Macaca fascicularis: one gene and its partners. The protein of the gene in region 3 interacts with the protein of the main gene of each other region in a biochemical or structural test. Links are inferred from orthologs where the notes say so. Each region holds a gene or a part of one and is shown on either strand. Other genes may lie near its edges.

Evidence for each region.
Region 1: the proteins of CDC5L (region 3) and PRPF19 form a complex in vitro, tested with the Homo sapiens proteins (2 studies listed by BioGRID, with this or other methods). The link is inferred for Macaca fascicularis from reciprocal best matches to the Homo sapiens genes CDC5L and PRPF19.
Region 2: the proteins of CDC5L (region 3) and PLRG1 form a complex in vitro, tested with the Homo sapiens proteins (3 studies listed by BioGRID, with this or other methods). The link is inferred for Macaca fascicularis from reciprocal best matches to the Homo sapiens genes CDC5L and PLRG1.

Annotation. Positions count from the first base shown.
Region 1 is NC_088388.1:13,364,571-13,374,650, reverse strand, and holds the start of PRPF19 (pre-mRNA-processing factor 19), read right to left. Parts: upstream 6,279-10,080; 5' UTR 6,077-6,278; coding exon 6,058-6,076; intron 5,145-6,057; exon of another isoform or gene 4,868-5,144; intron 3,600-4,867; coding exon 3,450-3,599; intron 3,274-3,449; coding exon 3,197-3,273; intron 2,616-3,196; coding exon 2,474-2,615; intron 2,391-2,473; coding exon 2,317-2,390; intron 2,201-2,316; coding exon 2,138-2,200; intron 1,281-2,137; coding exon 1,239-1,280; intron 1,110-1,238; coding exon 1,035-1,109; intron 670-1,034; coding exon 594-669; intron 432-593; coding exon 322-431; intron 1-321. UniProt on the Homo sapiens protein: Ubiquitin-protein ligase which is a core component of several complexes mainly involved pre-mRNA splicing and DNA repair. Required for pre-mRNA splicing as component of the spliceosome.
Region 2 is NC_088379.1:159,462,273-159,472,421, forward strand, and holds the start of PLRG1 (pleiotropic regulator 1), read right to left. Parts: upstream 6,279-10,149; 5' UTR 6,193-6,278; coding exon 6,184-6,192; intron 4,810-6,183; coding exon 4,703-4,809; intron 4,420-4,702; exon of another isoform or gene 4,348-4,419; intron 3,724-4,347; coding exon 3,581-3,723; intron 2,931-3,580; coding exon 2,877-2,930; intron 2,088-2,876; coding exon 1,997-2,087; intron 1,799-1,996; coding exon 1,711-1,798; intron 388-1,710; coding exon 286-387; intron 1-285. UniProt on the Homo sapiens protein: Involved in pre-mRNA splicing as component of the spliceosome. Component of the PRP19-CDC5L complex that forms an integral part of the spliceosome and is required for activating pre-mRNA splicing.
Region 3 is NC_088378.1:127,129,538-127,139,729, forward strand, and holds the start of CDC5L (cell division cycle 5-like protein), read right to left. Parts: upstream 5,435-10,192; 5' UTR 5,313-5,434; coding exon 5,268-5,312; intron 2,892-5,267; coding exon 2,788-2,891; intron 749-2,787; coding exon 587-748; intron 1-586.

The DNA.
Region 1 (10,080 bases), on a different chromosome or scaffold from region 3:
AGTTGAGATTGAGTTGAGCTTTGTTTTCTGTAGTTTATATGACGAACACTATAAGATTTTTTCTTTCCCTAATATAAAACTTTTCAATGAATATGCTTGTCAAACTACACATTTCCCTTCTCTCCCTGGCTGGAAGACCACTGCTTTAGAAGGTCTCACGCAGAGTGAAGGGCAATCTCCACAACTCCAAAGTGAAGCCCTTCCAAGTGCCCACTCAGGAGTCAGCGCTCTTTCTCAGCCCCACTTCACAGAGACAGCAGGGGGGCGAGGGACAAACAACAGCCAAGGAAAGAAGATCCAAAGGTGGCAAGAACCCCTTACCTGGGAAGGGTGAAACACCACGCTGGTGACCTTCTTGGTATGGCCTTTGAGGGTAGCCAGGATTTGTTCCGAACTTTTGTCAAACACAACGACATTTTTATCTGCCCCACCTGGAGAAGACCCAAAGAGACCATACAATGAGTCAGGCCCACCCAGGCCCTTTTGCTGAAGGAAATGCTTTTGTCCCCATGCCCATGAAGAGGACAAGGCGCATGCAAATTCCCCGCTGCCCCTCCCCACCTTGGCCTGCTGGGCTAGGCCCAGACTCTCACCAGTGAGGATCTTGTTAGTGTCAGACGGGCAGAGGTCCAGGGCCAGGATCCCAGGAATGCTGGCACTGTGCAACCCCTTTGCAGAGAGACACACCAAACCCTGTCACAGCCAAATCACAGCAGGCCACAAAGCCACAGGTCTCCCCTACTGCCATCCCCAGTCACCCATGTTCTCAGGGGAGCAAGAGTTACTTCTACTCCTTATCCATATCTCTTGGCTATCTGCCTGCTGCGGTAACTCCTTCACTGCATCACTGGGAAACCCACAACTGGGCAGGAAGAGGAGCCCTGACAGCTCAGCAGCCCAGGCAAGAAACAGCGCCAGGAACAGTGCCAGGAGCCCGGGACAGCTCTGTACTCAGCACTCCCCATGCTGGCCCACCCACCCCAGACACAAAACAGGAGGGCTGTCTCCAAGACAGTGAAGACCCAGACACTCACCACATGGGACGCCACCTGCCGGTATTTGCTGAGCTCTTCTGGCTTCACCAGCTCCTCAGGCACAGTCTTCCCTCTCTGAGAAAATGAAAAAGCCCCCAAAGTACAGCAGCAATGAATCCAAGATCAGCCAGCCCCCTTTCTCCTAAGGGGTCAACTGCCTCCCACCAGGCCAGCTCTTTCTCCTGGCTTCAAAAGAGAACTCACCTTCTTGCGCTCCGTGGTTAGCACAGTGGCTTTGTCTTGAAGCTGGGGAAGAATAGGCTCAATGTGAGACAAATTATCTTGCAAGGAGAAAAGCACATTGGATGCTGGTCACACCTGTGCTTTCACAAGCAACACCCAGAATTTGCTATCTGCCAATTTCTACATTACAGGCTTAAAGGCATTCTCTCTTCTTACTTCCATCCCAGCTTTATAAGGGGGGTGTTGATGACCTTATTTTACAGCTGAGGACACTGAGCCTCAGAGAAGTGAAGTCAATTGCCCAAGGTTGCAGAGGTGATAAATAGCAGAGCAGGAATGGAGGCCAGGACTGTAGAGCTCCCATAGGTCTACATGCCACTCAGCCAAGGGCTCAGACACATGCTGACAATTTGAACTGCTCAGAAAGACACTAAAAAGCCCTGCAAATGAGAATCCCACTGGACTTGCAATCAGGAGCCCAGCTCTGCCTCTGATGTGTCTTTCATCTGTAAAATAAGGATTATAATTCCTGTCCTATTGCCCTCATAGAAAAAAAGCAAGAAAATATATAAAAGTAGTTTACTATCTGCAAATAATACCCAAAACAATAAGGGCTAAAAGGTGCACTTATCAGTAATTAAATCATTTAGATTCCCACATCAAGCCTATAAAGTGGATATTATTATATTCTCAGTTTAGAAGCTACAGAAATGAAACTTGGAAATCGGCTAAGGAAGCCAAGGTCATGTAGCTTACAAGTAGTGGCATCAAAATACAAACCCAGGCAATCTGGGCCCAGAATCCACGCTCTGCACCACTCAACTCCCAAAAGCATAGCGATTTTAGTCACGATGGACTCTAGACAGATGGGGAAAAGTAAGGGCCCATCAGCACTCCCACCAGGTGAGAGCAGGACTTACCTTCTGAATAATCTCTGGGGTCATTCCCACCAGCTCACCCAAATCCATTGGCTCGCCCGCACCCTGAAGAGAAGAAAGGTGAGGGTGAGGGGCACAGAGCACCAAAGACACCTACATAAGGACAGCTCTGTGGGCCACTGCACACAAATGGGCTGTGGTAAGGGAAGGGGGACACTTACTACAACACTTGGTTGGGAACTTGGCACAGCCTGGGGCACAATGAGACCAGCCTGTGGTTTCAGGGTAGCCAGAGCTGAGAGAAAAGACGATGTTAGAAATGGGATATTACAAAGCAGAACCAGCTCAGGGTGGGGGATGGCAGGGGGCAGGCTGCACCTTCTCGGGCAGCAGTGACTTCCTTGGTGAGACGGGCAATGACACGGCAGGCGGCATCGTGCTGGTACAGAGCGTGCGACAACTCTTGGCGGGTTGTCTGCAGCTGCTGGCGCAGAGTGAAGCTGTGCAGCATGACTGCATCCTGGGAGAGGCAAATATTACTGTGAGCTGAGGCGGGGGGCGCAGGGAGCACCCAGTGGAGCCAGCTCTTGGGGAGTGGATGCTGCCTCCTATCCCACAGCCTAGACCAGTATCAGTGACCCAAACAATATCCGAGCACCATGAATATGCCAGCAGACACTCTTGAGCTCCTACCCCAAGCCAAACACTGGGCACACAGACAGGAGTGGCAGTCAGCTCTTTCCCATCCCTACTTTCCCTAATTTACTGGCAAATTCCAGCTGTCATGCCGTCACCTCTCTAAAAGTGGATAACAACACTGCTGCTGCTGCTATTTATTGATTGCCCTCTTTGTGTCAGGCACTGTGCCAGACAGTCCTGCAGGATGTATTCAATCATTCAGTTCATAATTCTAGAGCACCTACTACGTACCAGGCGCTCTCAGTGCTGGGGATACAACAAAGAATAAAACAAAACCCTGATGTCACAAAACCCTGATGATGATTATCTAAATAATTCTCCATCCTTCCCACCCCCAAGTCCTAACTCAGCGATGCATTCTCTTCAAGTGGGGAAGATGCTAATTCTCTTGCAGGAACTCACCCACTCATCCTGCAAGGCTTTCAGAATGGCCGGGATGCTGGTGGCTGAGGGAGGCTTGGGCCGGATTGGGTGAGCAACTGCCGAAAGGGAAAGTAGGTATGAAGAGCATAACCCAGGGACCTCCCCTGCCATCACATCTTTTCCTTTTAGCCATAAACAGCCCACCATCTCCTCCTCCAGTGCATTGGCACCACCTCCCATCCTCTCAGGCTCTGAGCTAAGATGGCCCTAGACTAAGGCAGCCAATAGGCACCTTTGATGTCGATGAGCTGCTCCTCGGAGAGAGGCTGGTTGTTGATGGGGTCGGTACCATTCTCTGCAATGTACTTCTCAATGAGCCGCCGCTCATAAACATGATTAGAGACAGGGGACACACATGGGTGCTCCGGCACTTCATTAGAGACTGTAGAGAAAAGGCCGGCAGTGAGCTTGGAGTGAAGGCAATCTTGAGCCTAGAGGATTCCTCATCTGCTATTAGCCCCAACAAGACTAGGCATCCTCACAATCAACTAGCAAAAAGCAAGACATCTGACCCTAAGCCAGTTCTGTACTGGCCCCAGAACGCTTTCCAGCTGTGGAACTAGCTTTTCCTTTAGTCTCCTGACAATCAGATAGTCAACAAATAATTATTAACAACTACTATGTGCCAAGCACCTAGAGAACAGCAGTCCATTATCGCCACCTAATATCTGAACAATGATTGTGTACTCTATGAATACAGTTTACTCCATGACATGGAGACACACATGAAGCCATTCAAATCCCTTCCATCCATCTTAGTCTATAGCTCCAGAGGGATTATCAAAGAAATCATAAAGTCTGAGAATATAGGAATAACAAACTCAGTTTCTCCCATTCTCTCACAAAACAAAATACTTCTGTGACAGATGTGACCATCCGGGTGTCCTCCAATTCAATTCTGACACCAGGTACCTGGAGATAGTGTCAGATCACACGGGTTGAGGTCTCAGTCCCACCAGACTCCCCCACCCCTTCAGATGCCAATCGCAAGCTCCAGGTTGTTTGACCTGTTCTTCTGATCTACCAGCTGTAAATCAGGGTTCCCATGACCCCCTTTTTGGGTTCAATTAATTTTCAACAGTGACTCACAGAATTGTGGGAAACACTTATGTTGACCAGTTTATTATAAAGGATATTACAAAGGGTATAGATGAAGAGGTGCATAGGATGAGGTATGGGAGAAGGAGTACAGAGTTTCCCATGCCCTCCCTGGGCACCCCACCCTCCAGGAACGCCCACATGTTCTGCTATACAGAAGCTCTTTGAATCCTGCCCTTTTGTATTTTTATGAAAACTTCATTACAAAGGCATGATTCAATAAATCACTGGTCACTAGTGACAACTTCAGCCCCTCTCGTTCCCCAGGTAAGTGGGAGGTAGGACTGAAAATCCCAACTTTCTAATACCCTTTAGTCTTTCTAGGTGACCAGTCCCCATCCTGAAGCTATTGACGTCTGCCAGCTACCAGTCAACTGATTAGGATACAGGCAGACACTTATCACCTGGAAGATTCCAAGGAGCAAAGTGGCAATCATTACAATAAAAATATTTACATGGCACATGTCTATGTGCCAAGCACAATTCTAGGCATACAGTACAGTAATTCATGTTCACAACAACCCGCAATAGAGGTATCATTTACACTCTTGCCTGCATAGACTGTGCGCCCCTTGAGGATAAGGATTACAGCTGGTCTCTCACTTCCAGTACAATGCAGATGCCCCCAGGGCACTCGGTAAACATCTAACGAATGAGTGAACCCTGCCAGGAAAGATAGTGCTGGGGAACGTAAAAGAGAGCTTTCCCAAGACTGGAAGGAAACAATGAATGTGAAGGTACTTTGCGAGCTGTAATTTCTTCAATGTGAGAGATTCCTTTTCCATCATTTCCCTTCCTTCTTCCCCCTCTCTGGATCAACGTACAGGTTCTGAGAAGAGACGGAGGTGAATAGCAAAAGGGAGGGGAAACGAGTAATCTGATGAAACAACGAAAAGGGAAAGGAAAACGTATGTACGTCATGATAAAATATCAAAGGGAAAGATAGTGGAAGGTATGGAAAAAGCAAGGATTCAGGCTCCAAACTCCGTGTCACCTAACTACGTCACCCAGCTCTGCCATTGACTAGCTACGCATTCTTAGATAAGCCCCGCTCTTCCTGAGCCTTGCCTCCTCATTTGCAACACCAGGATCTTTTCTCCTTTAGGGAATTCTTGTGAGGATAAAATGAGATCCTAGACTTGGAAGCGCGTTGTAAACCAATAAGGGCTTTATAAATGTGCGCTGTTTTTAATTAGTCATACACTGTAAGGCTGGGAGCCATATACCTAGCTGCCAGCCTTGCCTACCTCTAACTCATCATGTGACCTTTACAAATTGCAAAAGCTGCGACTATCCGAGCAAGGCCTCACAAAATATCCAGTGCAATGCTCTCAATTTTGCAGATGGGGAAACCGAGGCACAGAGCCTTAAGCCAATTCACAAAGCCAACAGGAGGCGGACCCTGGACAAGACCTCGGGTTTCCTGACTCTTACATCAAGGCTGTTTCCCCTGCACCAGCTCCCTCTGTCCAGGCCTGTTTCCACTCGGTAGAATGAGGCGACCTGCCTCAGTAATGCCTGCGACAATAAACCTCCGGCACTATGTAAACTGCGGAGCACTGCGCAAATGCACCCCGCTCCGAGGGGAGGGCTCCGGGGCTGACAGGCCGCCGCTCTGCCTCTGGAGCGCCCCATTCCCGCCTCCACCCCGGCCCCGGCCCCGGCGCCGCAGTGGCCCGCACACGCTCCCGCGCCGCTCTCCGGCCTCCTGCGACCCGCGCTCGGCCGCAGGCAACACTCACTGGAGCAGATTAGGGACATGGCGCCGTTGCCGCGCTCCCAGGCGCCACACGCCGGACTCCGGGACTGGCTTCTGAGCCTCCGCGAGCCACTTCCGGTCCCCCGCTGCTGCCGGGACTGCTCAGCTGCGAGCTGGGAGCCGCCAGTCGAGCGATGCTCGCGTAGCGCTTCACGTGGGAATGGGGACAGCCGCGCGCCACTGCCTCCAGCACCTAACGGAAATGGACCTTTCCCAGAATGCAGCCGGGCAGGAAAGGGCCCGCCACGAACACTCGGTTATTTCCGGATTGACTCGGCTCGTTCCGTAAAGCGCCCGGGGATTGGCGGGGGCGTCGGAAGAGAGGAGACTCGAAACTACATTTCCCATGATGCAGTGAGAACTTAAAACCAAAGCAATTGGACAGCACTTGTTTTGACAACTGTGCGGCACTGTGTCACGGGACCCTGGTCTTTGAAACCTTGGTGTGCGCGAGAATTTCCCAATTTCCCATTGTTAAAATGCAGATTCCTCGGATCTGCGTAGACAGACTGCCCCCCACGCTATTCTAAGTCAGGTGTTTCTCGGGCCACCCTTTAAGAGACACTGCTGGATGGCCTGGTGTTAAAAATACAGAGGCAGATGGGTACAGGAACTAAGAAAACGGCTAAGACAGCGTTTTGGTCCTGACTACTACCGTTTCGCTCTGTGATTTGGGGCAATTCACATTGGCTTCCCTGCCCTTTCTTCTTTGTCAAAAGACAAAATCACAACAAATTTAGTTTAAAGTTTTTTGTTTGTTTGTTTTGTTTTGTTTTTGTTTTTGTTTTTAAGAGACGGACTCTGGCAATGTTGCCCAGGCTGGAACGCAGTGGCTATTCACAGGTGCAATCGTAGCAATCATGGCTATCACAGGTGCATCCTGGAACTCCTGGGCTCAAGTGATCCTTCTGCCTCAGCCTCCAGAGTAGCTCTGGGACTTAGGGTGCAATTCTATAAAATTGGGCAGCGCCTTACACTATAAAATCTAATGGTTGTTCCAATGAGCTGAACAGGGGAGCTTGGTTTTTTAGACAGAAAAGGACTGAGGAAAACAGAAACAACAAAAATGGGATTGGTCATTTGGTAATCTCAAAATTACTTTTCTTGTAAAGGTTAAAGTGGAGGGTACTTCTTTATCATGCCATGTAAAACTTGCCTGTTTGGGAATTTAGCTCTCCCTGCCAACACACATGCACACACACACTCTCTCTCAGAAGGTCATAAAGATCTTAGTTTCAGCTCATTGGGGTGGAACTTCAGCAGGACTCTTTTTAGCTTGGTCTGTTAGGCCTAGCGCAAGAGCTCAGTCCAAACCAGTGGCCTCTTATCAATTTATTTTGTATTTTCTGTTTCTCTTCCAGCTCAGATAGTGTATGATTCTTTGTGGATATCTGTAAGATAAGATACTCTCAGGAATCATGCAAAAGACATGTGGTGTGGACTATAAGGTATCAAGACAAACGGGCAGGATGAACAGGATGTGTGAGTGAGAGGGACTTTGACAGGTGGGCAGTATTCAGAGGAGAAGGAGAAGGAAAGGCATTCCAGAAGGAGAAACAATGTAAGCAAAAGCTTGGAGAGAAAAATAAAAGTTACAGGTACAAAAGGTAGTATGGCATAGTGGCCAAGAGCATGGACTCTGAAGTCAGACTGTGTGCTCAAATCCTAGCACCACCCAGGTGATTGACTGTATGAACTTCTCTATGCCTTAGTTTCCTCATCTGTAAAACAGAGGGAGTGATGACAGGGGTAGAACTAACTCGCTGAACTCTTATGAGGAGTTAATATGCAAAAGGGCATTTCATCTCTCTCTTGCACCAACAAAGTAGCTTGCCACTTGTTCCTTGCTTCCAGCCTGGCCTCCTCCTCCTAATCTACTTTCCACAGAGCAGCCAGTGATCCGCTTTGAATGAAATATCGATTCATGTTATTCCCCAGGCATTTCATTCATCCAACAAATATTGATTGGGTACTTCCTATGTGCCAAGCCCTATTCTAAAAACTGGAGATAGAAAAGGTCAACAAGAAAGACACAGCTTCTGCTCTTTTGGAGCTTACACTGTACTGGGAGTGGTGGGAGCACAGAGACAATCAACACTTAAGAAGAAAATTCCAGAGTAGTAGTGCTATGAATGCAACAAATCAGAGCAAAGTAGACAGAGGTGCTGGGGATTGGAGGAACGGCTGCTTTAGACAGGGCACTTAGAGAGTGCATCTTTGAGGAGCTGATTTTTTTTTCGCTGAGAACTGAATGAGGGTATGGAGCAAAAAAGTTTCTCCTCTGCCCTCTAAAGATTTGCTGAAATTAACTGACAAACGACAGAATAACAGGAGAAACGACATACAAGTGTATTAGTGTGCAAGTGTGCACAGCAGTCATACAAAATATGAGGCTCAAAGAAGGAACAGGTGGCTGATGCTTACTTAAATGGCACCCAGGAAAGAGAGAGATGGGGGAAATGTAGGCAATTTTGAGGGCTAGCAAATAATTTTTAGGGGAAATGAATGAGCCCCAAGAACAGACAATGCCTTGGGACAAAGTTCTTATGAGCTCTGGAGGAGGTGGCAACAAATTGTGGGAAGGTGAGGGGCAGAACTCCATTGTGAACAAAGGTTGTCTTATACTCATAAAGTCTCCCAGGTAATCTGTTATAGCTCCCTCAGAAGAATAGATTAAAAGTCTCTCTAGGTGTAGTGGTGAGTTGATGACTTTTAGTTTTTATTCTTCTCTAGTGGTTAATCTTTTCTGGTTATTTGATGAGTTTCCTGTGAAGAGGGATTTGAGACAATTGCACTTCTTTTGGAAGAAATTTTCTGAGATAAGGGAACTTCTAGAGAGAGCTTCTACCTGCACTTAGGATGGGGGTCAGTGGGCAAGAGAAGGTTAGAAAGTCCTTGGTTCTAAGGCAGCTTCTAAGACCTTCCCATTTCTTTTCATTCAAAAGTGCTCAGCATGCTGTAACCTCAGGACCAATCCAAACTGGGCCTACTCTTTTGATAATAGAATGTCATGTTCTCTTGTAGGTATGACAGAGCCAAAACTCCAAGTCATGTCAGCAGGACATGCATAATAGAAAATGCTTTGACATCTAACAACATCCAGAACCAATGATTCTTCCCTGTAGTACCAAGAAGACCTAGACATGAACAGAACCTAAATGCTAGAACTGTTTCAGGAGCAAAGGGTCTATTGACGAGAAAGATCCAGGGCGAAAATCCACCTCAACATACCCATGTAGTCAAATTTGAAGCCCTCCAATCAGACCCTGCCAAGCAAAAATTCCTAATTCTTTTCCTTGCCCTCTGTATTAGTCTGTTTTCACGCTGCTGATAAAGACATACCTGAGACTGGGCAATTTACAAAAGAAAGAGGTTTAATTGGACTTATAGTTCCACGTGGCTGGGGAAGCCTCACAATCATGGCAGAAGGCAAGGAGGAGCAAATCACGTCTTACATGGATGGCAGCAGGCAAAAACAAAAAGCTTGTACAGGGAAACTCCTGTTTCTCAAAACCACCAGATCTCATGAGACTTATTCACTAACACAAGAACAGCACAAGAAAGACCTGCCCCTGTGATTCAATTACCTCCCACTTGGTCCCTCCCTTAACATGTAGGAATTCAAGATGAGATTTGGGTTGGGATGCAGCCAAACCATATCACCCTCTGACCCCTTAAAACTTGCCCCAGTTAGGGAAAATTAGGGAGACAGATTTGAGCCATGCCTCCAGTCTCCTTGCTGGGTGGCCCTGCAATAAAGCCTTTCTCCACGCAAAAGCTGGTACCATAGTATTGGCTTCTATGTGCATCAGGCAGTAAGCCTCTATTTGCTCAGAAACAATACTAAAGCACCATACTTTGGGGTATCATTCTCTGAGCCCCAACCAGGGGTCATTCCTGAGGCCATGAATGAGAGAGAGAGTTTCTGGATGAGGAAACTTGACCCCAAGTCTTGTACCATCTGGTCCGTGCTGACCATCATGGTCTCACTTTATCTTCTCTCCAA
Region 2 (10,149 bases), on a different chromosome or scaffold from region 3:
TACTTTGAACACTTTCTAAATTTATTTAGTCTGCAATCCATATTTAGTAGCTTTATCTTGACATTTTATATGATTTTATATAAAATACAAGTGTAACTTTTACTTAAGGAAGTCGCCTTCCCAAGAGATCTTTTAAGATACTCCCTAAGACTCTTCTCAATCCACCTCAGATTGCTCTACCGGTTTTTCATATTCACTCTTTTTCCTCCTTACTCTATTCTTCAGTGCTTGTCAACTAGAAAGCAATCATGATTCACATAATAAAATAAATGCAGAGTCACTCACCCTGTAGAGTTTCCACGGTGGGTGCCACTGGGGTTTTGGCATTGTAGGGGCTTTTTTAGCCATCAGTGCAGAGTTCTTGGTATTGCCGGTCTCCATGACAATCTAGACATAGAAGAGACATTATTATTATTAAAGATATCATACCGAAGACTTTGTATCAATTCAGAAATGGAAATGGAAAGAGGGAACTTACAAAAGATTTTTTCCATAAACGAAGAAATAAAATTTTCTGTATGTTAATTTTAAAAAGCAATTATAAAATCAGAGAGAGGCAGAACATTAGACTTAAGAACACACATCACTGTGTATGGGTTCAAATCCCAGCTTGGCCCATTACTAGCTGTTTGACATTAGGTAACAATTACGTAACCTCTATGTGCCTCACCTATGAAATGGGAAGAATAGTGCCTATTTCATAGGGTTACTACAAAGATGTAAAAAGTAGTAAATGCTCCATGTAAGCTCGCATTATTAAAATCATTTTAAGTGTATTAATGCCACTGCCATTCATTGTCATATTTTAACCTTATGGATTTAATGTAGCAAAGACTGATATGATAGTTCCTTCTATTTATCTTCTAATACAATATTTAAATACTATTTTAACAGGTGTACTGCCTGATATACCATCTATTGTTAGCAGTCATCTAGTCATCCAAAAAATAATTAAGCCCATAAAGTTCCTGCCCTCAAGAAGCTTAAATTACACCCTCATAAGGAGGGTAGAGAGCCTGGACAGAAGATATGCTCTGAATGGAAGATAAAGGAAGAAATGAGACGTGGGGGTTACACATTCATTCACTTCATGAAGTCAAAACAATTGCATAATGAGCTGAGAAGCAAAGCCAGCACTTATTTCAAGTGGCAGCATAATAAAATACATGGCAGAAAAATAAATCAATAAAATAACTATAGAAAATAATTCTACAACTACTTCTACCATACTAATACCAGTTGCCATTTACCTACAGATAAACTTATTTCTAAATGTTCATTTATAAGACTAGTTGTATAGCCCATGAATAGTACAACACTAATAGCACTCAACATAACTGTACCAACTTAAAATTTAATAAAAAAAAAAAAGACTTTCATATGCAATGCATACTAACACAGGTTTCAGAAAAACTCTCCTTGCATTTTTAATAGTGGGCAATAAATACCAACATCACATTATCTTTATCAAAATACATATTATACACAACGTACAAGTAGACAAATAACAGCATTCCAAAAAATGTTAATTTACTACCAACTTGAGTGTTAGGGCTATGAAATATGAATGACTAGTTCAGGCTGCTATTTATCTTAATAATTCCAAAGTGTTCATTTCTTTAGTATTTAAGGTAAGACTTTCGATCAGAGGGAAATAAGGCAACATGTTTAAAAAGTTAGAAACCTGCTATATGACGCAGAAAAACTTACTGAATTCATCGCTGTAGGCTGTGGACGGTCAGAAGCCCCAGGATGTCGGTATTCACTTCCACTAGGTGCAGTACGATTTACATCAGTCCTGAGGCAAAAGAAATATTATATTCAAAGTAATTAATGCCTCCAGTCATGTATTCTGCAAAACTAACCCTTTATTTTAAATTGTTATAAGTCCTGATAAAGGAAAATGTCATACAATAGTTATAAAAAAATTTTAAAAAGAAAAAACGTGAACAGTGAAATATGCTTTTAAGATCTTTGTAATTATAATATTTCATACTTGGTCTGAGAAGGTAATGCCACTGCTAAGGACTGTGCAGCTGATTCACTTGGCATTCTCTGGATCTTAGTATCTGCTGTCAAAGCAACCCCTATTAAAATGAAAAATCAATTTCTTTTAGTAGCTTTGTATTATTCATTTACATGCACTTAAAATAAAATGATGAAGGAAAACATTCCAAACGTTTATTAATTCCAGGCAGTGATACAAATTTTGATTAAGTTTTGCTCATCTTGTTTTTAATTTCTACAATAAATACTGCTTAGTAACACATAACTCAAATTTGATCACAGCCTACAAGGTATTAAAGCAGCCCAGAACAGTAAAGTTAATTTCCATTATATCTGGGTATTAGTTTCAAAAGTCAGTATTAAGCAGTTCCTCAAATACAAACAGAATGTTTCCAAGAGTGGTTGTAACTTACTACAACCAGAAGCACCCAATTTTCCTGCACTTTCTATATATACTAAGCCTTTTGTCCTCTACCCGGTTATACTGGCCACTCCATCTGTGGGCCAATACCTTAATACAGACAGAGGACATGTTTCTAAGATACTGCCTCTAACATTCCCATCATTTTTATAAGCTTGGTGATATTTACATGTCTGCCTAAACCACCAGATAATAAATTTGTCTAGGCCTGCAACAGTTTTACTGTCTTTGAATTCCTAGCATATTGCCTGAAAAATTATACATACTCAAGAATGTTTGCTGAATAAAGGCACATGAGTATTCATTATCACCTACAAAGCTATGCATGGATGCTTGGCTATTGAACTTATCTTGCATTTTACAGGCAACAAGAATGTCATTATTGGCTCGTTAGTGAAAATGTATGTGACATTTTTAAGATATTTTCAATATACAACAGCTCACTAACCAGGTCCCGGTGGGTATGGATGTGTGCCTGCCACAAAGTATTCAACTTCTTGTCCTAGAAAAAAGACAAAAAAAATCAACAGTAGTGAATTTATCTTATATATAAAAGTTATCATCTCTTTAAAGTATCAAATAATATTACATTTTCAACTGGATCTATCACATTTTCTCAACTAAAGTTAAGCCTCAGAAATAAGGGAAATTGGTCACTTTTGACCTCTGTAAACCATGTCCTTGTCCATTTGCTATATAGCAATGGTATACAAAGAAGCCCTCCTATCAAGTGATAATCCACTCTGGTATTTCTTCCAAGCAAATTTCCTGTGGAAGCTTGAATTCTCTTCATTTATTAAGATTTCAGTATTTAATTTCATCTTTCTGAATTATAGACAGGATAGATGGTATCCCCACAGGTTAAGAATATTCTCCAATTTTTTCCTTTAATCTCTACTGTGACCTTCTCCACATTCTAAGAATCTCTGCCATCATTATACTACCATTTTTATTTCCTATAAGAAAAAAGTCATCAACCAATGTCTCAGTATTCCCACGAGGATAAAAACTTCCATTATAATACTGGTACAGCCATTAAATACTGTATGACCACACCTAAGTCCTGCCAGCAGGGGCAAAAATAACACATTTTATTTTTCTATTTTTAAAATTCACACATACGTCTGACATTTCTGATAATACCATACTCACCTTGATTGGCAGGGTACTGTTTATGAACATATGAATCCGTTGCATTCTGAGGACCCTTCTCTTTAAGATTTTCTTTCAAAGTAGGCATATGCAACACAGGACCATACTCATTACGAAGCTTGATTGCCATCTTCCGTTTGTGACTATTTAGAAATTATAAACATAAGAACGTATCCATAAATACTTTAAAACAAACACTTAGACAGCTTAAGTTTGCCCAATCATGTAGGAAAAGTTTCTAGTAAGATTTTAAGTAGTATTTAAAAGAATCAAAAATTTCCAAGTGCATTTCCCCACCATATCTGTTCTTTTGCTCACATTCCACCACACAGCATTCATTAAACCTAAGTAATATTTTAGTTTGTTACCTAATAGAAAATATTTTATGATAAATTATCAAGGGTCTGCTTGAAAGATATATAGAAACTAACATACCCTTTAAGAAACCTCAAAGTCAATACGCTTTCCTTCAAAATATAAATATAGTAAAAACTCTACAGCAACCTTTACTAGATGTATCCAAACAGGTTAGTTAGAACTAAGAAAAGTACTTAATTGGTTCAATATTTTAAAAAGAAATGCACTTATATTACTTTTAAAAATAGTCTACTTTACAAATTAAATATAAATGCTTGTTTGAGGAGTTAAGTCGATTTTAAAAGGGTAAAGGACAAAGAAGGAACACTGCACATAATGCAATCCCAGACTGGAGCTGGATATGTAGAACCAAAAATATGCCACCACTCAAAAATCTTCATCATACTAACGAGAAAAGATGGGAGTAGAGGTACTGGCCAGGTACAATTTCAGCTCAGCAAGGCTCTGAGAGCAGCGGGAAGCTGAAAGCACATACAAAGTGATTGATTATAAAATAAAATACCTAAAAGGGACTCTCTTAATTACTGGGTATTTGTAAAATGCAATTAATTAATGGAACTTTTACTGTAAAAGGCCAAAAAAAAAAAAAGTTAAATCAGCTTAAATTATGCCAAAACACCACTCATTATTGAATTAGCCCATGAGTATTGCCAGTTTATCTTTAAAGGTCTCCCTCTTCCTGCTCTCTTCCCCCAGTATTAGAATGTTAAATATTTCAGCAATTGAAAAAAAAACTATACCAACCTCTCTTCATCTAAAGGCACAGGTTTTCCATTATCAGCTACAAACATGTCATGGGTCCTCTTCAATGACCTGAACACAAGTGTGTGTACAGAATGTTTCTGTACCTCCTTAAAAAAAAAAAAAAAAAAAAAAGTAATTACACACCTATCTACAAATTACACAAATCATAACCTAACGTCAGATTGATTATACACTTCACATGTTTAAATATGTAAAAAGCTTTATACCACTCACCATAGCTACTTGTTGCGAGCTACAGGAGTCAAGTTCAGAGAAGAGGAGGAAGCTCCTCTTTGGCTAGAACCTCAGGTATAGCAACTGAGTGATGCCATAGTTTAGTCATTTACTCAATAAATATTTACTGAGCTCCTACTGTGTGTCTGGCAGGTATCGTGCTAGAATCTCACAATAGAATGATAAAAGGTAGTCATGGTCCCTGTGCTCAAGAGGAAACAGACAAATAAAAAGTAAAATAATTCCACATTTTGATAAGTGCTATGAGGGCAACAAGCAAGGCACTGGGTCGGGAAACGAAGGACTAAGTATAATTGTGAAAGACTTCACTAAAGTGATATTTAAGCAGAAAGGGAGTTAGCCTTGCACAAAACAGAGATAAAAACGAACCAGGCTGATGGAAATGTCATGTAAAAAAATGTTCAGTTAACTGAAATAATACAAGAAGGGCGGCACAGCTGTATATGGTGGATGAGATGGTGCTTTGTGGTTGCAAGGGTAGACAAGGTCCAGATTAGGTAAGGTATTTTAGACTATTACAACAGCCTATGTTTTCTTCTAGCAACACAGTCAGTAAAGGGTTTTAAACAAGAAAGGTATGAACAACTTACATTTTAAACAGAACAACTTATGGAACAAAATGGAAGCAAGGAAATCAACGGGGGGCTAATGCACCAGGCCCGGTGAAAGATGATGTTGGTCTCAATTAAGGTGGACTGCAGTGGATACGGAGAAAAGTGAATGGAATCAATAAACATGTGGGGTAACATGGACAAGACCAGCTAACAGAATGGCTGGCTGTTCATGCCAGGGAAAGATGTAAAGAATGGCAAGTTTTTCTGGGAGTAGAGTTGAAATAAGAGACGACTTGAACGCAAGATAGAGAAGACCGCCAATCTTTTCGGGCACAGAATCACTGACACTGCCCCGAGGGCGGCGAGTACCAGTGGTCGAACACCAACAGAGGCCCCGCCTCCAAGGACAGTTTCCAGCTCCCAAGAGTCAAACGAGGACTGGACGAATTATCTCAGGCTTAGCGCCCGGACTGAACCTCCGACTCGGGTTCTCATCCGGCTTCTACCCCTTCCCCGAAAACCCGATGAAGAGACCACCCGGCCTTGGCCAAACAGCTTCCCTCGTAGCCTCTTTTCTCTCCGGACTCCAAGCACTCTCAATCCCCCAAGCCCACTGCCAAAGAAAAACAGTCCAGAGACAAACGACTCTTGAGAGTCCCAGTGTCACTTTACCTCGACCATGATGCTACCGCGTATCCCACCTCCGGCAGAGAAGAAACCCTAATCACTAACGCAGTACCCGCCGCCACAACTGTGCTGCACCTTCCGGAATTGGGAGGCCAGGCGGCGGATGTGATGCAAGCTCTGCGCACGCGCGCTAGTCTCCCCCGGCCCTCTGGGATCAAGAGGCGGGTCTCCCTCCTCAGGACCGCCCCTAGGGCGGAGGCTCGAGGCTGTAGAGGGGAGACACCTGGAAGCGCCTGACTGGAGGATTTCACTCGCTCCTCTGAAGAAGTCTTCGAATTATGTTTTCTGCCTTACCTTCAGCCTTCAATGTCTTGGCTGGGGCCCTGGTTGTTCATGCTGTATTCCCCGGAGTTTAATGCTTTTTATTCAGAGAGCCTAAGCTCTCTGGAGAGCAAACTCCCGTGGGCTCTATCTAAGGCGCTTCCGCTGCCTTGATCTCTTTGGAGGTCGCCTGCTTGCTTTCTGTCTCCTGGTTCCAATCCTGGCGAGAAGCACTTGGACACTTGTAGGCTTAACACCTGAAAACAATTTCGCTTAAACAGTTCAGTAAACACTTGCTGAGTGAATGTTGAGGAATGGCTGTTTTAATTTGGAAAATTTTGACATGTAGATATAAGAAAAACCCATATTCATTTTCTGCTAATAGATTTTTTTTTTTTTAACTTCTCAACGCTACATAGCTCTTGGACATTTCCTAGTTGTCTGCTGATTATTGTGGCTTCAACAATGCCAGGGTACAGCTTTTCAAAGCTGGTAGAAGAAAGACACAATTGGAGACTTTAGCCATTTTTATTTATACATATCCTTGTGCCAAGTATTGGTATTTTTGCTTCCTACCCTGGTAAAATCTCCGGTTTTGATCAACCCTACCTAATTATTTTTCTATGTAAAAAGAAAAATGGATGGACTTGGGCATTTGCAAACTTAAATAGACAAAACATTTTACTGGCCCTGTTTCAGTTTCACTGATCTGTCCTGACAGCGTACTGCATACACTTTGAGAGGGGGAAACAATCTAGCAAAAGAATAGCAGTGTAAATCAACGTCACTTGGAAATTCATTAAAAACATTAAGGTCATGGTTTTTTGTTTGTTTGAGAGGGAGTTTTGTTCTTGTCGCCCAGGCTGGAGGGCCATGGCGCAATCTTGGCTCACTGCAACCTCCTCCTCCTGGGTTCAAGCGAGTCTCCTGCCTCAGCCTCCGGAGTAGCTGGGATTACAGGCGCCCGCCACCACGCCCGGCTAATTTTTGTATTTTTAGTAGAGACGGGGTTTCACCATGTTGGCCAGGCTGGTCTTAAACTCCTGACCTCAGGTGATCTGCCCCTCTCGGCCTCCCAAAGTGCAGGAATTACAGGCATGGGACCCCGCGCCCGGCCTTAAGGTCATGTTTTTGCTTGAAGATAAAACATCCCTGAATTTGACTGTGAGTTTGTCCTAAGAACTGATTTTCTGTAAAAGTGGCCGGTGATGGTATTTCCTTGCAAGAAAATACTATAATTAAAAAATATATACTTGAGGAACTAAATAATATACTCACCTATGAATAATAACTATAGAAAACAATGATTTGAAATGACAATAAAACCATAGAAACCTAAGCAAGACTAATATCTATGGAAAATATTAATTGTCTGGTTGGACCTATTAACTTTTTACATACTTAATCATCCTGGAGACATTAATTTATAGGCCCAGACTCATAACAACATGGTAATGATTGAGGTAAATTGCCTCGAATTTGCTCCTTTTAAAACACTGTCGTGAATTTATAGAATTATGTCATCCACTTGAAAGTTTACAATATTTTAGATAAATATAGAACTCAAGTGAGCCTATTATTTAGTTCAGGGATTCATAAATTATGTATATTGTGGGAAAATTTTGTATTTATATGGGAATATGTTTTATTTTCTTGAGAAAGGATCTACAAGTTTCACTGGATTCTTGAAGGGCTCCAGGATACACACATGGCCTGGCTGACACCCCAAGCTGCCTTATTTGAACAGCAGGTGTCACTACTGCTGTTTATAAGGGCCCTCAGGGCTCTCCTTAAAGCAGACATGGCAAGTAACTTATTAATATAAATATTAGTATTATGTCTGTGTAAAACCAAGAATACAAGTTTTAAGGAAAGCCCTCCTTCTTTAGGCAAGATTTTTTAAACTCACCAATACAGAAAGTCTTTTTATTCTCCTTCAAATATTGTTCTTTGCTCTTGAACAGTGATAGGTCATGTGAGTATAGATTCGAGTGCCATTGTCATCAGCTTTTTATGATACTTTTTATAGGAAGTGTTTTCTGATTCTTATAATCATAAAATAATAAATATTACTATTTATTTTCCTGTTTCAACTTAAAGGGTTAAATATACAAGCTTTCAAAAACACTGTATGCAATGTTCTTTAGAGTTGTGTGACTCAGTATGTCCAGCCCTTAAATTTCATATTTGAAATTGTTCATGAATTCAAAAGAAAGTAATCGTGGGAGTTATCACTGTTTATTTGAATTTCTGAGGTCAAAACCTGTGAAAAATGATACTTGGACATTTCTTCCAAAAGTTTGATCTTTAATTGTTTAGCACAATGCTATGAATTTGCCTAGATACTAAGGTAGTATCAGCAGATACTTTCTTGTAGCATAGTTGAAACAGAGGCTTCTGGGACTATAAGGAACAGCGAAGGGGCTATTGTTCCTGTTAATGCCTGGGAAGACTTTGGGAATAATTAGATTGTACTATCAGTTATAAACTGTCAGTTATAAATATCTTAGCAAGGTGTACGTGTGTGGGTGTGTGTGGGGGGGAGTGTGTGTGTGTGTGATGTGCTCACCCCGAAAAGATGCTATTTCAGCAACCATTAATTTAATCACAGTCTTTCTGTATGTGTAATGCAGACAATTGCTTATAAAAGGTCAGTTCAGTTCTGTTTTTCTGGTCATTGTAAATTTTACGACAATGAAAAATATTTTCCATTACATTTAAGTAAGTGAATTCTAAATTTTATTTAGTTTCTATAAAACTTAGCTACTTAGTTACAAAATACAATTTATCTGTAGAAACATTTTTAATATTCAGTTTAGTTAGCAGAAATACCTCTTGACATGAATAATTAAGAAAAGTAAGGCATTTGATTGAATATTTTACTATTATTACTTAATATTTATAGATCCCATTTTATTTATATTAAATAATACTCTTTAGACACCTTTAGGTTTTCTTTTAGAAATATGCTACCAAAAGCCAGTGTCGTATTCACAGAGAAACATTAAAAATATTCTTACTGTTTAGTCATAATAGAAGGATGTCCACCATCACCACTATTATCCACGTTTATTTTTTATGAAAGTACTAGTTATTCAATTGGACAAAAAAATTAAATTGTTTAAGTAGGAAATAGGGATGCAAAGTTACCTTTATTTGCAAATGGTATGACTTTATACCTAAAAAACCAATTGAAAAAACTATCGGAAACAATATGAAAATTCACTAAGCTGAGTAGAAAAATGTTATTAAAAATCAATAGTTTTCGTTTTTGCAGTTAAAAATATAGCAGGGAAAGGGGTTTTTATTTAAAATAGCAATAAATTTTAAAATGTGCAAGACCTAAATGAAAAAAACTTAGGAGATGTGAAAACATGAATCAGGGACCTCCCTCGTCCCTGTGCATATGGCCCCACTACTGCTCCTTCTGGAGGGACTGCAAACGCTGTCAAGGATACCGGTCTGGCAGTCAGAGAGGTCTCTGAGCTGACAGGATTTCCTGAAATGCTGTGAAAACTTTGTATCCTGAAATCCATGCTGGGTTCCTGCTCATAATATTCCAAAAGGTAATGCTGATATGGCCAGGCCTGATTGTTGCCTGTAATCTCTATCCCTTCCTGAAGAGAGTGGCTTCTCCAGGTGTAACAGTTGAGACGCTGTTAAGCAAATTGATACTGGTAGAGTAACCTT
Region 3 (10,192 bases):
TACTCACACTATAATACCATTTAGTGTTAAAATTACCAGATTTCCAAGTTCTGACACTCTTTTTCCCCCCCTAAGAAAACAATGGATGGGCTTTAACAACATAAAGCCTTTTTACTATCACTTCATCTGAAATAAATGATATTAAAATTTGTTACTTTCAGTGACTGGTTTCAACCACTCTGAAATAGGACCCAAACAGATCCTAGTCACAAATGCAGTACAGCCATACAAATTAAAAAAAAAAAAAAAAACTATTAGTAAAGAACCAAAACGTTCCAGTAGTTAATTCTTAGCAGTGTGATTATGGGTGACTTTTATTTGCTCTTTTACTATTTTTTCCCCGGATTTTTTATGATGAACATGCATGACTTGTATAAATCTTTTAAATTATTATTTTAGGAAGTATATAATAGAAGGCATAATTTTGATCAACCATCTGAGATTTGGAAAATATTATCCAATGGCTTTAGCTTTGGCTTTACTCACATCCATAATTAAAAGTTTAAGAGAAAAAATACTCAAAGTTTATTCAGCCTCTTTCAGAACATATACATATATTCTATGCTCTTTCTGAAGACTCACTTACAGAAGAAATTCATAGTGTTCTAAGCACTGGGCCGCTGTTCTTCCAATGATTGGAGCAATGGTCCTCCACTGAGTTGGCATCAACTTGGCCAAGTGCAAGAGTTTTTCCTCTTCTTCTCTGGACCATTCTGTCTTCTTAATGCTTGGATCCAGCCATTCATACCTATTAAAAATAGATCATTTTATATATTAGTCAGTTACCTGGCATAAACATCGAATTTGCACAATGGATGCACTGACTTCTAGTGTCTGAAAAACAAATGCTCTCATCCTTCAATTACTAAAACTGTTCTTTTTGACAACAGAATATTTGCTGTGTGGTCACACTTAACCCAGCCAATATTCACCATCTCATCACATTCTATTTTATTTTAATTATGCAAGATTAGTAATGGTTTAAAAAGGTTACTTCACTGTATCATGATCATATGCTTTCTTTCTCAACTATCATTTGTTTTTATTTATTTTTACACTTTTCTAGAAATTTTGAAATATTTGGAAGACAATACAACCTCACGTTTTGTACAGTGTTTCCAGTTTTCATACTATTTTCTCATGCTTTGGTTCTCACACCAAGGCTTATTTCTTTAAGCATTTGACTTACACTCACTAAATTCACCGTATCCTTTCATTTGATATGTTTTAAAATTTAAGTAAAACTACTACGACATCCCCTCCGTCTTTCCTAATTCCCCACCCAGCACACCTTTTCCATCCAGTCTACTTAGCTGGATGACAGGCAGGCAAACAGGACTTACGTCCTACCAAATATGAGAGCAGGAACTGGTACCACTAAGACAAACAGAAATCGGGACCATTTCTTCAGCCTAAAAATCATCTTCCTCTTTAACAGCCAATTTCTACATTCTTTTTTTTTCTGAGATGGAAAAAAGCCTCGTTCTGTCACCAAGGCTAGAGTGCAGTGGCACCATCTCAGCTCACTGCAACCTCCACCTCCTGGGTTCAACCGATCCTCCCACTTCAGCCTCCCAAGTAGCCACCACACCGGGCTAATTTTTGTATTTTTAGTAGAGACGGGGTTTTCACCATGTTGGCCAGGCTGGTCTCAAACTCCTGGCCTCAGGTGATCCCAGCCTTGGCCTCCCAAAGTGCTAGGCTTACAGATGTGAGTCACCACACCTGGCCAATCTCTACATTCTGATCCTTTCCCCTACACAGGTGCCGAGGAAATTAGGTCATTCTTGTACAATCCAAAGTATTTTCCTAACGCCACATGAGTTGGGGGATGGTGCTAAATAACTCATGCTAAGAACACACTAAATAGCTTCACGTGTCCACTATCCTATCATTTAAGAGGTGACACTAGCCGGGCGCAGAGGCTCACACCTGTAATCCCAGCACTTCGGGAGGCCGAGGCGGGTGAATCACGAGGTCAGGAGACTGAGACCATCCTGGCTAACACGGTGAAACTCCGTCTCTACGAAAAATACAAAAAAGTAGCAGGGAATGGTGGCAGGAGCCTGTAGTCCCAGCTACTGGGGAGGCTGAGGCAGGAGAACGGCGTGAACCCAGGAAGCGAAGCTTGCAGTGAGCCGAAATCACGGCACTGCACTCCAGCCTGGGCAACAGAGTGAGACTCCGTCTCAAAAAATAAAAATAAAAAAGAGGTGACACCACAGGCTCAGGGCTGGCTTATGTTTTAACATATATAACATATTAAATATGCTTAATATATAACATATTAACTATAAAATATATAATATTTCAACTGCATTATGAGGAAACTCAACTACTGTAGGCTCATTTGGAAAATCAGCCGTTATCACTTATTTCTTTGAGAAAGTAAGTCCTAAAACAGCTAACTTATGCACTTCTAGAACACAATTAATTTACAAGCTGGGGCTCATCTGTCCCTGAAAGTAGACTTTGTATGCTTCACAAAGCACTCTCAAATACATTAACCCATTTAGATGACACCTCACATCTCTATCAGTTAGCATCAAGTATTATTATCCCTAATTGGGAGAAGACAAGGGCAGGGGAGAGGGATAGAAAAATGGCTTGCCTAAGATTACACAGGAAGAAAGTGACAGCTAAGTCAAAAATCCAAATTCCATCTCCCACTCCATGCCTTGTTATATCATGATGTCTGCTTCCTTTGATAAGGTTCACAGAGCTGACATTTTCCATCATCACGATTAAGCTCCTTTTCTGTTTTCCACTTATTAAACTGGTACATACCATCTGGCTTTGCACTGCTTTGCTGATTTTCTATGCAGCAATGAGGCAATCCTAGACCACTGGTTTTTCCCATATTTCATTACCGCTGCTTTCAGAATTTCATCCTAAAAAAATTTGCCAAAGAGTACATTCAGTCACAAAACTCAAAGTGAGAAAACACAAAATTTAAATTAACTCTGATAGGGCTGTTAGACAGACACATAACATGCACATTCACACCCCCTAGGTTAAAAGACTAAGGATGAAAACCTTATTAACTATAATAATAAACAGCAACCAAGGATTAAGAAATTAAGAAGAAATCCCTTAGAAAGACATCTACCCACCCTTACACCACACTCTTCAATAAATTGGGAATGGGAATAGCCCAATCTGAGAAACCCTACTTTACGACAAAGATTAAGAAAAAGTATTCTTCAACGTGTGGCTGTCCTTCTCTTCAAAAAGGACAACTAAAAAACACAACAACAACAAAAAGATATAACTCATTCATTTATAGTCACTCAAAAAACACTTCCGCAACATCTGCCTTGAAACAGGTCTTCAGGAAAGGTCTTATCAAACAGGACATATCCAGGCCTCAAGAAGCAAGTTGGGACTCTGGTGAATGTATTCTCCAATCCAAGCCTCCTGTTTCAAGTTTACACATGGCATTTCCCCGCCAGTCCCTTAACCCTACTTATGACCCAAATCTCAGGTCTAACCTAAGAATTAAATATTTCTACCCCAACCCCACCAGTCAGCTTTCCTTCCAGAGACCCCCCGTCTCTGGATACCATATCACCAGGGCACCCATCACAACGTGGAATGCGCCAATCTCAAGGCAGCCTGGCAAGCCAAGTCACAGACAAGAAGGTTAATGGAGTCACAGATGCATGCACTTGGGCGATTTTACTTCTAGGCTTTTTTTCCCACATTGCATTTGAGGTACATGCTTCTTGAGATACCCCACTCCATCCTCTGCATCTCCCATGATCAAAGATAATGTTTTAAAAAGACTGCAGAGCTTTGACCACTGCATAGGAATCCTACTGTTACTTGATTTTATATCTGTCTCTCCCTCAGAAATCATCTCTTCTCAAATTGAAACAGACTGCTTCCCTCGGAGCAAGCTGAGGCAGTTTTCACTGTCTGTATTTGTAACTCGGTTGCAGTACTACTACACTTAAATACATTTTCAACTAAACAGATACAGCAGATACCTACTCTACTTGATTCATTCTGCAAACACCTGTCAAGCAACCTACTTCATGCTGGTTACTGTCCTAGGTTCTAGGGATACCAAGACCTGGTCCTCTCGCAATGCCATCTGGTGAGGTGAAAGAGGAACCAGCACTTACTCAGAGGCTACTATGTGCCCTACTCTGTTCTAAATATTCCAAACGTATTAACTCGTGTAATCCTCAAGTGAGGTAAGTATTATTATCCCAATTTAGAGAAATTAGAAAACTGAGGCTCTCAGAAGTTAAGAAACTTAACCAGTACCACACAGAGGATGTGATGCTTACAAAAAGACAAAGCGAGCTTTAACAAACGGAAGAAAAAGGTACCATGAGAATACTGGGGGTGCAACTAACTCTTACAAAGATTCCAATAAGTGTTTCTGACCTAGGTTTGAAGGATGATCATAAAGATGTCAAGTGCTAGGAAGGCAAAAGACGTAAAAAAAAGAAGGCATAAAATTTAACGAAAAAAGGACACGGAGCATGAAAAGATATGATGTGCTCCAGAAACTGATAAATTCGGTACACTTTGAACACAAAATGCACTAAAATCTAATTTCTATTTCACTCCCACTCTACTGCCCTTTGGCTCACCAATGGCACTATCCACTACGTTTCTGGAAGCAGAGACTATCCTAAGCAGTTTTTCCTTTCTGGCTTCCATCCAGGCAAAGGCAGTGACAGAAAGAGCCAGACCTTGGGATCTGTCGGGATGGCACACAGGTTATGCCCTGATAACAGGTAACCAGAGAGACGCGGTAACGGGCTCTCTGAACCTGGTACTCAAACTGCTTCCCCTCTGCAAGGAAGTCAATGAAGAAAGTTGTGGCCACGGCAACTTCTTTATTTCTGAGTATCGGACAGAGCCGTGATGCCCGGACTACGGACTAAGAGTGGATGGTGCCCCAGGAGACCAACTCTCGCTGAGTTGGAACTCTGAGTTCCTCCAGGGGCGCGGGGGTGGGAGGGGGCGTATTCAAGTCAACAAAAGTTCACTAAGGGCCTAACAAGTGAGCTTGGAGCTGAGAAGCCAGGTGGTTACATCACGGTCCCTGTCCCACTGGCGCTCGCACAACACGGGTCCGGACACACGGAAAGGGCCCCGACACACGGAAAGGGCCCCGCGGGTCCGCCCCCAGGCTGCCCTCCACGCAGATGCCACAGGGTCTCCTCCTCGCCTACCCAAGCTCCGCGCGCGTGCGCAAAAGCTGCTAGAGGGGAGCGGAGGGCAGCGGACGGCGGGAAAAGGAGACTTACCTCGGTGTTCCTCCACACGCCCCCCTTGATCATAATTCGAGGCATCTTGGCGGCAGGGTGTCTCGGCAAGCAGCCGACAGGAGGTTCAGAGAAGTAGTAACGGCGCTTGGGCCACGGGACTCAAAGCCGCCACTTCCTCCAAGCGCGACCTTCTGCTTTGAAGACCTGCGCAGGCGCAAGGTGGGAGGGGGAAAAGCAAAAAGCAAGTCTCGCGAGATCTGGGGTGGCTGAAAGGGAAAAAGTGTCTTGTGGAAGCTCAGCTGTAGGAAGACTGACAAAAAACCATCAAACCACTCTGGCCAAAGCGCCTTACGCCCCGCGCATGTCCAAAACCGAATGGAAGAAACTACGGCTCTCGCGAGATAGCGGCGGTGAAGCTTGGCTGAGAACAAAGTGGTGGGATTGATCGTAACGTCACCGAGTGGCAGAGGCTGGGAACGCCACGCGTGTGGAATTTCAGCACAGTTGCTACGAAGAGGGCTTTGTTAATTTATTAATCTAGCTCTTTTAAGTATTTCAGTAATAGGAATTTATTCACAGAATACTCAGGAAAAGCCAGTAGTTTATTTAAGGCTCAGTTTCCTAACCTGTAAAATAGAGAACATAGTAATGCCAACCTCACAGGATTGTCGTAAGGACTAAATGAGATCATAGACCCAGCACAGTATCTGATCCATAATAACTGCTCCAACACAATAGCATCTATTATTGCAAGGAGGGCAACGCCAACTTCACCCCGTCCCCAGGTGATCCATGCTTGTTCCAGAAACCCGCAGAAGCGTCACGTCAGAGTTTTTAATTCATCGCTCAGTCTGGATTAATAATACCGTTGATATGCACTGGTATTAGAAAACTCGAGTTGGGTTGAAATCTTGTGAAATCTTGACTTTCTCGTACGTTTGGGTAATAACCTTACTGAATCTCAGTATCCTCATCTGAAAAGTGGAACTAACAATACCTGCCTCATAAATGAGGCAGATTAACTGAAACATAACTAAAACCCAGTGAGGTAGGGATTGGCAAACTCTCTGCTATCCCACCCCAATTATTCATGCAGTCTCCTTCTTCACCATTCCAGAACATCTCTGACTCCATCCCTGGAAAATATCAAAATATTTAATGGGTTGGGAAATGCCCTATTTATAGTATTTAGTATTTTTATAGTGCCTAACTCTTTATATTTCTCATTTCTCCGTTTGCCTCTTCTGAAAGAGCTAAAGAATTTTCTTTCTTTTTCCTTTTAGCTTTTATTTACACACATTCTGTACAATTATGGTCGGCAAGAGGGCATTTTCCGTGGCCACCCTGGTAGTATTTGCCACTCAAAGGTTTATGCTGGCGGGCAGCCCGCCCTTGAGCTATTTACCTGTGTGGTGGATAGGAAACCATCGGACCTGTGGCCAGTTAAACTCAAAGTGTTTTCATTTGGACCTCTCCTGTAACGGGGCAGTTTTTTTAATTTTTTATATTTAATTTTTGTGGTTACATAGTACATGTATTTATGGGGTACATGAGATATTTTAATACTGGCATACAATACATAATAATCACATCAGGGTAAATGGGGTATCCATCTCAAGCATTTATCCTTTGTTTTACAAACAATCCAGTTATAATATTTCAGTTAATTTAAATGTACAATTAAATTATTTTTTGCTATAGTCATCCTGTTGTGCTATCAAATACTAGGTCTTTGAGAGTTTAACACTGGAGCATAGAGGAGGTCAGTCTCTGCTGACTGCTGAGCATCCACCATGTGACACCCAGAAGTTGTCTACCACCATGTTTTGGATTAAGGGAAAAAAGCAGGTAAAGAGAGAAATGTAAGTCCTGACCATGTCAGAGTACCTGGATCCAGCATGCTCCTGAGTCCCAGCTGCATTCCTGTTCTTGCATTCTGATTATTAGTTTCCTGTTGGTGTTAGCCAGTTAGAATTGGGTTTCTATTATTTGTAAGCAAGAGTCCTAACAATTCCAGAGATGGATCAATACTCTCTCAGAGGCCTTTCAGATCTCACATTCCAAGAGTTGATGATGGCTTCTCCTTCCATTCAGGGCCACCTCTATACCATATGTCACCTTTGTGAAAACTAGAAAAAGGTGCCCCTTCCTCAAGACACTTTATGCCACCTGCTGGAAAATTGTCACAAAATACTGGCGTTCTGAGAACAGGACACTCTTACAAGAAAATTGGATCTACCATCTCCACTATGTGAATTCCACCCCTAGAGACATGCATTGTACAACCTACTCATCCAAATAAAACAGCCCTGTCAACTGTCCCTCATTTCACCTTTGAATCAGATTGTATATCCCCTTTCAGAATTCAGAAAATGCAACATCGTGGAAGTCCTAGGATGTCTGAAACCAGAGCACTGTAGCCACAAACATCAGAACGCAAACACACTGTCCTCCAGGATGCCCTGCTTGGCCAGTCTCCCCCGTCATACTACTGCAGTCTCACCAGCCAGGTATGGGAACCCTTACAAAGAGGCTCCAGGGACTGCCAATAATCTTTTGAGGGACAGCCATAAGAAGCATCTACCATCAGGGAACCAGACTATATGGTCGGTCACTGCGAATCTTTGGTAAAGTGAGTGGCCACTGCTAAATAGTCTCCTCACTCACCCAAGGCATTTTTCCCCAAACATGTTCCTTAGAACACCAGTTACATAAAATATGTCTTTAAAAAAAAAAAAAATGGTTTGTATGTCCTCCCCTCTTGCAGAGTCACTGAAATTAAAACCTGTAAGAAGCTGTCAGATGAAAAAAATCTGTTTCTGCCTGTTGAGAGTTCAATTGTATTCCCCCAAAATAGATATGTTCAAGTCCTAACCCCTGCTATACCTATAAATGTGACCTTATTTGGAAATAGAGTCTTTGCAGATCTAATCAAGTTAAAATGAGATCATACTGGAGTAGGTTGTCCCCAAATCCAATGACTAGTGTCCGTATAAGTGGAGAAGAAAAAAGATACAGACCCACAGGGGGAATATCATGGGAAGAAGGAGGCAGAGACTGTAGTGATGCAGGTCCAAGTCAAGGAATGCCAAGGATTCTGGCAGCCACCGGCAGGAGAAGGCATGGAACACATTCTCCCTCTGAGCTCCAAGAAGGAGCCAGCCCTGCTGACACTTTGATTTTGGACTCCCAGCCTCCAGAACTGTAAGAGAATACATTTATCTTGTTTTAATTGTACTTAGTTTATTGTACTTTGTTGTGGCAGCCCTAGGAAGCCAATACACTCCTTTGCTAATACAGCAAATCCTTGAATAACATCATTTTGTGCAAGATCGTTTCATGATAACATTGATGAGGCCAGGCATAGTGGCTCATGCCTGTAATTCCAACACTCTGGGAGGCCAAGGCAGGAGGATTGCTTGAGCCCAGGAGTTTGAGACCAGCCTGAGCAACATAGTGAGACTCCGTCCCTACAAAAATATTAAATATTAGCTGGGTGTGTTGGTGCACATTTGTGATCCCAGCTACCTGTGAGGCTGAGATGGGAGGATCACTTGAGCCTGGGTGGTCGAGGCTGCAGTGAGCCATGATCACACCACTGCACTCCACCCGGGGTGAGACCTCATCTCAAAAAAAAAAAAAAAAAAAAAAAATCCACTTGAGGCCAGGGCCACTGTCTGTGTGGGTTTCTTCCAGATACCCTGGTTTCCTTCCACATCCCAAAGCTGTGCAGGTGAGGTTCATTTGCAAGCCTGCAGTCTGAGTGAATGTGGGTGTGTGTGAGTGTGCCCTGCAATGGGATGGTGTCCTGTGTCCTGTGCAGAGCTGATTGCTGCTTTGTGCTGGGATAGGCTCTGGCCACCTATCACCCTGAACTGGAATAAGCGGGAATACTTATCTTGTTCTTATTAATCTTTCTTTTCTTTGAGACAGGGTCTTACTCTGTGCCCCAGGCTGGAGTGCAGTGCCACGATCTTCCGTCACTGCAGCCTTTACCCCCACCCCACAGGCTCTAGCAATCTTCCAACCTCAGTCTCCCGAGTAGCTGGGACTACAGGCATGCACCACCATGCCTGGCTAAATTTTGTATTTTTTTTTTTGTAGAGTTGGGGTTTCACCATGTTGCCCAGGCTGGTCTCAAACTCCTGAGCTCAAGTGATCTGCCCTCCTCGACCTCCCAAGGTGCTGGAATTACAGGTGTGAGCTACCGTGCCCCAGCCTAATCTTTCTTAAATGTATGCATAGCTTACACTTACTTCACTGTTCAATATTAGAAGGGTTTTTGTCTTTATTTAGAAGTTTGGTGATGTTTTGTGACCAGAAATATGCCATAGAAACTTAACTCTTGTTTGTATCAATTAGCCTATGGTAAAATTGATTACATTATACATCCTTTTGCTTAAAGTTGCAGTTTCCAAAAACTTATCAATGATAAAAGTAAGGACTTACTATATAGCGTTTCCCAACTAATTTGACCCTAAAAACCTTTTTTCTTATATATCTATTGACACTCATGAAACACAATTTGAGAAACTCTGGCTCAGGAAAAAGAGGTTAAAAGTCCATTCGACTTACAAAGGGCAACCAGAGATGTTAGCAGGAGGATTTTTAGGTTGCATTGTCCCCATTTCCCTATCCCTCACCCCTCTCTGGGGAGCTGGTTCTGAATGGATTGACATTTACTTAGCAGAGAAAGCAATCAAAATTCTAGTTTCCCTTTCACCCAGTTTTTTTACCACCAAGAAACTATGCAGGAAAGGGCTAAAATTAGGGGCAAAAGCCTATGGCAACAGCAAGGCATAGTTTAGAGGCAGGGTTAATGACTCTCACAATCTTCACCATCTCCCCAAATAAACATGCATAATAATTTACATAAAAATATTATCCTGCTTTGCAAATGCAGTCATGTATCACTTAATGACAGGGATACATTCTGAGAAATGCATTGTTAGGCGATTTCACTG